Macaca mulatta: one gene and its partner. The protein of the gene in region 1 purifies or fractionates together with the protein of each later gene. This does not show direct contact. Links are inferred from orthologs where the notes say so. Each region holds a gene or a part of one and is shown on either strand. Other genes may lie near its edges.

The links.
Region 2: the proteins of SAP30 (region 1) and ING1 purify together in Homo sapiens (affinity purification with mass spectrometry; 6 studies listed by BioGRID and IntAct, with this or other methods). This does not show direct contact. The link is inferred for Macaca mulatta from reciprocal best matches to the Homo sapiens genes SAP30 and ING1.

Annotation. Positions count from the first base shown.
Region 1 is NC_133410.1:181,801,688-181,805,650, forward strand, and holds the start of SAP30 (histone deacetylase complex subunit SAP30), read left to right. Parts: upstream 1-1,152; 5' UTR 1,153-1,373; coding exon 1,374-1,688; intron 1,689-3,553; coding exon 3,554-3,679; intron 3,680-3,963. UniProt on the Homo sapiens protein: Involved in the functional recruitment of the Sin3-histone deacetylase complex (HDAC) to a specific subset of N-CoR corepressor complexes. Capable of transcription repression by N-CoR.
Region 2 is NC_133422.1:105,125,816-105,129,828, forward strand, and holds the start of ING1 (inhibitor of growth protein 1), read left to right. Parts: upstream 1-1,213; 5' UTR 1,214-1,729; coding exon of another isoform or gene 1,730-1,733; 5' UTR 1,734-2,054; coding exon 2,055-2,202; exon of another isoform or gene 2,203-2,261; intron 2,262-4,013. UniProt on the Homo sapiens protein: Cooperates with p53/TP53 in the negative regulatory pathway of cell growth by modulating p53-dependent transcriptional activation. Implicated as a tumor suppressor gene.

The DNA.
Region 1 (3,963 bases):
GCCACGCCCATCCCTCGCCCCGCCCTCCACGAGCACCTCCCCCCGCATGCACGCACGGACATACACGCGTACGCGGGCACACACACGTACACACGCGCGCGCCCGCGAACACATACATATAAGCAAGAGCGCACAAACGCGGGCAGCATGCAGGGGCGCACGCGCCTGCCAGGTCTCAGGAAATGCGCTTTCTACTACCCGCGCCGGTAGAGCTAATGCAGGGAAGTTTCTGGGAACAGTCGAGCAGCGTTTGTATTGGTGAGGTTCCAAGTCTCCTTTAAAATGATACGACTCCGCCCTTCTCCAAAACCGTTTGAGGAGAAATGGAAAAGGTTGGGCGTGGAGGTGAAAAGGAGCCCTGTTGTCAGCTGGTCCGTACTCCACCTCAGGAGGCGGCCAACTCCGTGCGTCCAAGAATAAACACATTTCCCTTGTAGGAACATGCAAGGGTTTAGAAACGCCCCCCTGCCCCCCGCGAGGCGTTTGTGAGGGGGACCTGTCACAGTTGAAAAGTCAGGATGGGCGTTTTCCTCCCAGGAGGTGCCCTACTAATTTGCTGCCTCGATAGTTGGTCAAGCCGGGATGTTAGCTGCGGAACCTCCAGGACCGAAGAGCGCCAATTCTCCTGAGTTCTCCTTGGTTTGGGTTTCCCACAAAAGCGCGGTCACACCAAAAGCTGTGTTTCCACAAATGCGAAACGGCCTCGAAACTTTTTTTTCCGCACACGCTCACTTCCCACACCACTCCCATCCCTTTATGTTTCGCCTCAGGAATCGAGTAACTTCTCTGAAACCCAATTCTACGAAATCCCAGCAGCTAAACACAGCCCGACTTCCCTAGAGACAGAGAGAGAGAAAACACTGTAAACCCCAATCACACGCTCCTGTTTTCCCGGTACTGAAAAAAAAAAAAAAAGTGGGTCCGTGGCCGCGCTATGCATGCTAGGATTAGTAGTTCCTCCATCTCGCAGGGCGAAGGGTCAGGGCGGAGCTCAGGTTGACTCCGTAGCAGACAACTACAATTCCCATGGGGCCGCGCGTTTGAAAGAAAGGGGCGGGACGGGAGGGGGCGCGTCGCGCTTGCGCAGTCCCGGGGGCCGGAGGGAGGCGGAGGCGTAGCGGTCCAACTGCTGAAGTCCCCATGTGACAGTGAGCGGGGTCCCGGCTCCAGAAGACGCTAGAGTCTGCGTCCGGGCCCTCAGCACTGTCCACTGTTCCGGGGCCAGCAGAGACCAGCAGGCCCGGGACGGTTGGTGTTTGACCGTGCCGCTAACTTGGTGTACAGAGTGAATTGCCGCTGCCGGAGCGGAGAGAGGCGGAGCGGCCAGGAGAGAGGGGATTTGTGTCAGCGCCGGCGCTCGGGAGCTCGGAGACATGAACGGCTTCACGCCTGACGAGATGAGCCGCGGCGGAGATGCGGCCGCTGCAGTGGCCGCCGTAGTCGCTGCCGCGGCCGCCGCCGCCTCCGCGGGGAACGGGACTGGCGCGGGCGCCGGGGCTGAGGTGCCGGGCGCGGGGACGGTCTCAGTGGCTGGGCCCCCGGGGGCGGCCGGGCCGGGCCCAGGGCAACTGTGCTGCCTGCGGGAGGATGGTGAGCGCTGCGGCCGGGCGGCAGGCAACGCCAGCTTCAGCAAGAGGATCCAGAAGAGCATCTCCCAGAAGAAGGTGAAGATCGAGCTGGATAAGAGCGTAAGTAACCGCGGGATCGCCCTGCCCTCCTGTCCCCTGGTGGGGCCCCAGGAGTCGGGCAAAGGCACGGATTGTCGGCGGGGTCTCCCAGACCTGGCTGCAGTGCGGTCTCGTGGAGTCTGTGTTTGGAAGCAAATAACAAAGTCGCTGCAACTCCGACCGCCACCCCAACACACACACAACACGCACGCTGTCGTTCCCCTTTTCTTTCCCACCCTGCCCCCAGCCTCCCGCTGCCTGCGACTCTCCCGCGCACTGTCTTCCCTCTTCCTTCTCCTCTGCGACCAGGACACGAAACAAAGGGGACCGCCGGACCGAGGGCCCAGAGTAGTTTTCTTGCAGCCCGGCAGCTCTTCTGGAATGGAGGCGCCTTTGTTTCGCTGCCCAAGCTGGTGTTTGGCCCCAGGCGGTGCTAACTCCCCTGGTCTAGGGGAAAGTGGAGGACCTTCGCGATCAAGGAAGATCCTGTTCCTTTCTGTGCTCCGTCTCCTCCGGAGCGGAGTGAGAGGGAAGCCGAGCTCGCCCGCCGCCTGGCAGTGAGCCGGGGCTGTAAACGGCGTTTGCGCTGTCAGCTCCGAGGGCAGCTGCTCCGATGGTGGGGAGCACGTAGCCTCTGCGGTTTTGCCATCCCCTTGGCAGCCATCAGGATTTCTTTTTTCCTCCTCCTGCGCGTCTTTTCGTTTGACCATCTAACAGCCGTTGCTACTTTTGGGAGATCTGGCTAGCGGTAAATGAATAACATGGTATCAAGAACCTACCACAAGTCCTGCGTATTTTTATCTTGCGCTTGGCTTCGAAGTAAATGTAAAAGCCTGTTAGCTCAGTCCGTATTTGTTTCAAATGTTAGTCTACAGTTCGCAGGAGTGTGTGTAATTAAAGTTTTTGAAAAGTTTATTTGTGATACTTTTTTGCCCGTTTAAACAGTTTTCAGTGTTATCCGTGAGAAACTTTTCAGGTGAACTTGCATAATTTCAGATTGCTTTGGGAAAATGTGTTATAAATAAATACATTGATTTAATTTAATATTCAGAAAAGTTGATAACTGAAATTTAAATATAGTTATGAAGTCGATAGCTCATTTGTAAAAACGGATGGTTTTGTATCCGGAATATAATTTGGGCATTCAGTTGGAAAGACTGGAAAGCATACATTATGTTACAAAAATATGCTCTTCTTTAAGTAGAGAAAGTACTGTCAAGTAGCAAAAGTGGGCAGCATCATCTTTCCCCTTAACAGTTAAAAATTCAACATGAACTAATTCATGTCATCCTCACTGCTATTTATTTATTTATTTATTTATGTGAGACAAAGTCTCACTCTGTTGCCCAGGCTGGAGTGCAGTGGCGCGATCTCAGCTCACTGCAACCTCCACCCACCAGGTTCAAGTGATTCTCCTGCGGTAGCCTCCTGAGTAGCTAGGATTACAGACTAGTGCCACCACGCCCGCCCAATTTTTTGTATTTTTAGTAGAGACGGGATTTCACCATTTTGGCCAGGCTTGTGTGGAACTCCTGAGCTCAAGAGGTGCTGGGATTACAGGCGTGAGCCACCGCGCCCGGCCCCTCACTGCAATTTGATGCCAAAACCCAGAGGGTTGGAATTTCTCATTCTCCTCTCCCTCCCTCCCTTCACCCCTTCCCCAAATGGAACCAACCCCTCCTTCCCCATCCACCATCCTTTTAACAGTATTCCAGACTTCTTATGTTTTAACAGGGTTTAGGATTTAAATGTATAAATATTTCATTGTGTTAACAATGGCCATCTTGACTGTCTTTATTTTTACTATCTGTGGCATATGTGTTTTACTAATACATAGACACATTTTACTGTAATCATTAGCAGTGTGTGAAACTTTTCTGTTTCAGGCAAGGCATCTTTACATATGTGATTATCATAAAAACTTAATTCAGAGTGTTCGAAACAGAAGAAAGAGAAAAGGGAGTGATGATGATGGAGGTGATTCACCTGTTCAAGATATTGATACCCCAGAGGTAAATGGAAGTTTTTTATGCTTAATATAAATCCTAAGTAGTGCATTCTGAAACCTTTATAAAAAGATATGAACAATCTTTTAAGTGTTTAAAACATTTGAGAAATCTGAAAATGAAAGCAAAATTAAATATAGCCAGTTGTCATGCATTTACACAGTTTGAATTGTTACATTTTAAATTGACAATTTTTGCGGCTCTGTTGTCACATAACTTACTCTTTTTTGACCTCAGTTTATATTATTAATCCCCAAAAGATTAAACTGTTTAATAATTTATAGGTTTGA
Region 2 (4,013 bases), on another chromosome or scaffold:
GGTGGGCGGCGGCGGCCGCTGCGCTGGGCCCTCTCCCGCCGGTGTGTGCGCGCTCGTACGCGCGGCCCCCAGCGCCAGCCCCGCCGCCTGAGAGGGGGCCTGCGCCGCCGGCCGGGGCGTGCGCCCGGGAGCCACCGCCACCGCGGCCCGCGCCCCCAGGCGCTGGGGTACCCGCGGACCCGGAGGCGGCGGACGGGCTCGGCAGATGTAGCCGCCGGTCCGGAGCAGGAGCCGGCGGGGGGCGCCGGGAGAGCGAGGGCTTTGCATTTTGCAGTGCTATTTTTTCAGGGGGGCGGGGGGTGGAGGAAGCGGAAAGCCGCGCCGAGTCGCCGGGGACCTCCGGGGTGAACCATGTTGAGTCCTGCCAACGGGGAGCAGCTCCACCTGGTGAACTATGTGGAGGACTACCTGGACTCCATCGAGTCCCTGCCTTTCGACTTGCAGAGAAATGTCTCGCTGATGCGGGAGATCGACGCGAAATACCAAGGTACGGCCGGGTGATGGATGGGCGGGGGCGGCCGCCTCCATCCCGGCGGGTCCGGGCGCGCCGCGGAGCCGGCCCGGTCCTGCCGTGGAGCGGAGGAAGCGGCCGGCTCCGCAGCGGCGGCCCTCGGCAGGGGCAGGAACAAAAGGTCTGGAGCGCCTTTGATTCGCCAAGGTCCTTGTGTGCAAAGCCCGGGACACGGAGGAGGAAGGAGGCGCGAGAGGTCTCGCTGCAAGGCTGCGCGACCAAAGCGCTCTTTGTAGTGAAGTGATGAGGCGGGTGCTGCGGGGGAGGGGGCGGCGGGTCCAAGCCGCGTCCTCTAGGAGGGGGTGCAGATTACGGCGCGAGATGGAGGGATGTGCCGGCGCCTGGGGCTGTAGGACGCCGAGATGTGGCTGAAGGAGGAGGGCGGCTGTGGGCCGGGGTTCCCGCGGACCCGGTGCCTCGGTCCGGAGCAACGCCGCTCCCCTGGCCCTTCTTCGCCGCCCCCCACCCAGTCCCCAATCCGAGTGTTACATAAAGTACCGGGTAGTACTCCGTTCGGGGTAGCTCGGTCGCCCCCGCCCAGTCCCCTCCGGCCCTCACTTGGCACTGGACACCGAGTAAGGGCCGACTGCGAGGGGAGACGCCGCCGGTTGTAGTTTGCGGAGGACGAGGGTTTTTCTCTGTGTGCCGTGGGGAAGGGAAGGGGAGGAGCGGAGGCGGGGAAGGCGCCCATCTGCGCAGCGCTGCGCTCGGGGGGGCGCGGGCAGATCGCTGGGTTGGAGAGGATTGTGGCAGATGAGAGGACCTGTGGGTCGTTCTCTACAGACCTGGCCGCCCAGGGTGTCAGAGAGAGGTGGCGAGTTCGTGTCCGCCGGGAATTGTTGGCTGTTGGGGAAAGTTTTCTGCGAGGTCAGTCAAGGCTTTGGGGGCTCTGTTTTGAATGTGGATCACCACTCCGAGTTTACTAATGTTTACAAAGCTACGCAGTAGGGAAACGGAAGAGTTAGGTGGGGGCAAAAAAAATCCATCGCCATGCCCGAAAGCACCAGATACCCCTACCGGGAAGGCGCCCCTGCGCGCTCTATCCAAGACGTAGCTTCGCAGCTTCTTTTATAGGAATCTCATTAGCATATTGTGGAACGTCCCGCCTCAGCCTTCCGGTGGTTGGCTGTGACGTCCTTCGTGGAATGTCCTTATCATTCCCCTGCGGAACGATTGGTCGCTGAGGCGGATGAAGGCGGGTGTAGCGCAATAACTGGCATGGGTCTGTGTTTCCGCTGTCTTCTTTTTTCTTTTTCGGGGAGGAGCGGGGTGGAGTGTGGTTGATTTGAACGTCTTCGGGTCGCTCGGCCTCCAGCCTCGGATTGGGCCTTGTCGCTGCTGGGGCGGGCTGTGCTCTTCCGCCTTGCGGTGTGGTTGGTTCTCCTCCTGGCCTCCGCCCTCCAAATCGGCGATTCCCATATGCGGCGGCTCTCGGGGGGCGCGGCGAGTCTCCTGCTGGCCTCCTCCCCATTGGCTGGAGGGCCGGCTGGTGTCGCCCAGGCCCCTCTCTCCACTCAGCACTGCCACTTTTGGGCGCGGAGTTATGGCAGTAACGGGGACCCCAGGGCTGGGGGCTCGGGGCCGGGGCTGCAGTTCGGGCCGCCTCCCGCGACCCGCGAGACCGGCCCGCAGACAGTCCCAGGCCGCATCTTTGCTGACCCGAGGGAGGGGCCGCGCGTGGCCGGGGAAACGTGAGTGACTGGGGCTGCGTCCACGAGCGGGACCCTCGGCGCGGGAACTTTCCTGGAAGGTGCTGTCCTCGGGGCGGGCGGGCTCCGTGGAGTGACCCTGGGGCTCCGGACGGAAGGGAGGCAGGGGCTGAGACCACTCTGATCGTTCAACGATAGAAAAAAGCGCGGGGCGGGGTGCAGGGTCCCAGCCGTCAAGACAGCAAAGTTCACGGAGCCACTTTGTTCTCCTGTCGTTGCTGGGGAGAGCCTGGCTTGCTGCTTGCTTCAGGTTCACCTAGGATGATGAACTTTTTGGCTTCAGGAAAGATCACAGTCCCGCCCCTGGGGGAGTACTGGAGCCGTGCAACTGGTAGCGCTGAGAAGCGCGAGAATCTGTCGCAAGGGTCACAGCTCCTTGGACTTCGCTGTAAATGCTGAGCTCTGCCGCGTAGTTCTGAAAGACGAAGCTTGTTTTCACAGATCTACTCTACAGGAAGTCAGACGTCTTTTGCTTAGTAGGCATCGGTTGTCTGTTAATTCGTAAACATGGATTATAATTAGTTTATCGATTTAAAATGGTGTTTGAGATTGCTTGAATTATTTTTCAAACATTATTATAAAAATACCTACCCACCCCCTGGGAAGTCCGCTTCATAAAGAATTTCAGGGCAACCCTTACGTAAAATTAAAATACATTTAAAATAATTGGACAAACCAATTTCAATGTTGCTACAATCTCATTTAATCTGTAAATTCCATGTGTTGCTGCTTTCCATGGTAATGTTGGTGTGGAGTATGTTTGGAAGAAAGGTAGCAGTGTGTCTGAAGCTGAGTTGCTGGCATTCAAGGAGCAGAGTGTCTGGAAGGATGGCTTCCTATTTCGCAGTGGTGGTGTTCCTGTCTATAAATATTTGTACTTAGTGGTTTTGTTGATAAAATACTTTGTTTGGGGTATCAAAGAACTATTAGGTAACAGAAATACTTCTTGGTAATTTTGCAATGGGATATCTGTTTCTCTTCCCCACAAATTAGGCTTCGTCTGGATGGAAGCTTGCTTGTGATGCCAAATAACCTCTATGTTATTAAATTTTAAATTTATATGATGGTTTTCTTTTCCATCAAATGACAATACTGTCTTTAGAACTTTGATTACTGATGAAAAGAAGTGATACCATTTTATAAGCCTAAATCCATTTAAAAATAAATGGTACACACTCATATTTTAACATCTATGATAAATAAGTTGGATAAATTGGTATTACTTGGATACGTTGAACACAGCTATTTATTTTTATAATTAGTGACTATATGAGACTAGGGCATTCCTCCTGGTGGCAGGCAGCCTGCATTGTTCTTCTAGGAAATGTCTTCAGAGCTGTCTTTAGTTTGAGAATATACTCTGGAAAATAATACCATTTAGAGAAGCTTCAGCGTTGGCCCAACTTCTTATGTTTACTCTAGTGTTAGGTATATATCTTATAACTATTTGGAGATAAGATCTGGAAAGGGAGGGGGTACCATTTTAGACAATCCCTCCCACTCCCAGCCCCTCCCCATACCCTTCCTAGTTTACAAGTAGTATTGTTGGCCTGGCACGGTGGCTCACTCCTGTAATCCCAGCACTTTCCGAAGCTGAGGCAGGCGGATCACGAGGTCGAGAGTTGGGAGACCAGCCTGACCAACATGGAGAAAACCCTGTCTACTGAAAATACTGGGCGTGGTGTTGCATGCCTGTAATCCCAGCTACTCGGGAGGCTGAGGCAGGAGAATCGCTTGAACCTGGGAGGCCAAGGTTGCAGTGAGCCGAGATCGCGCCATTGCACTCCAGCCTG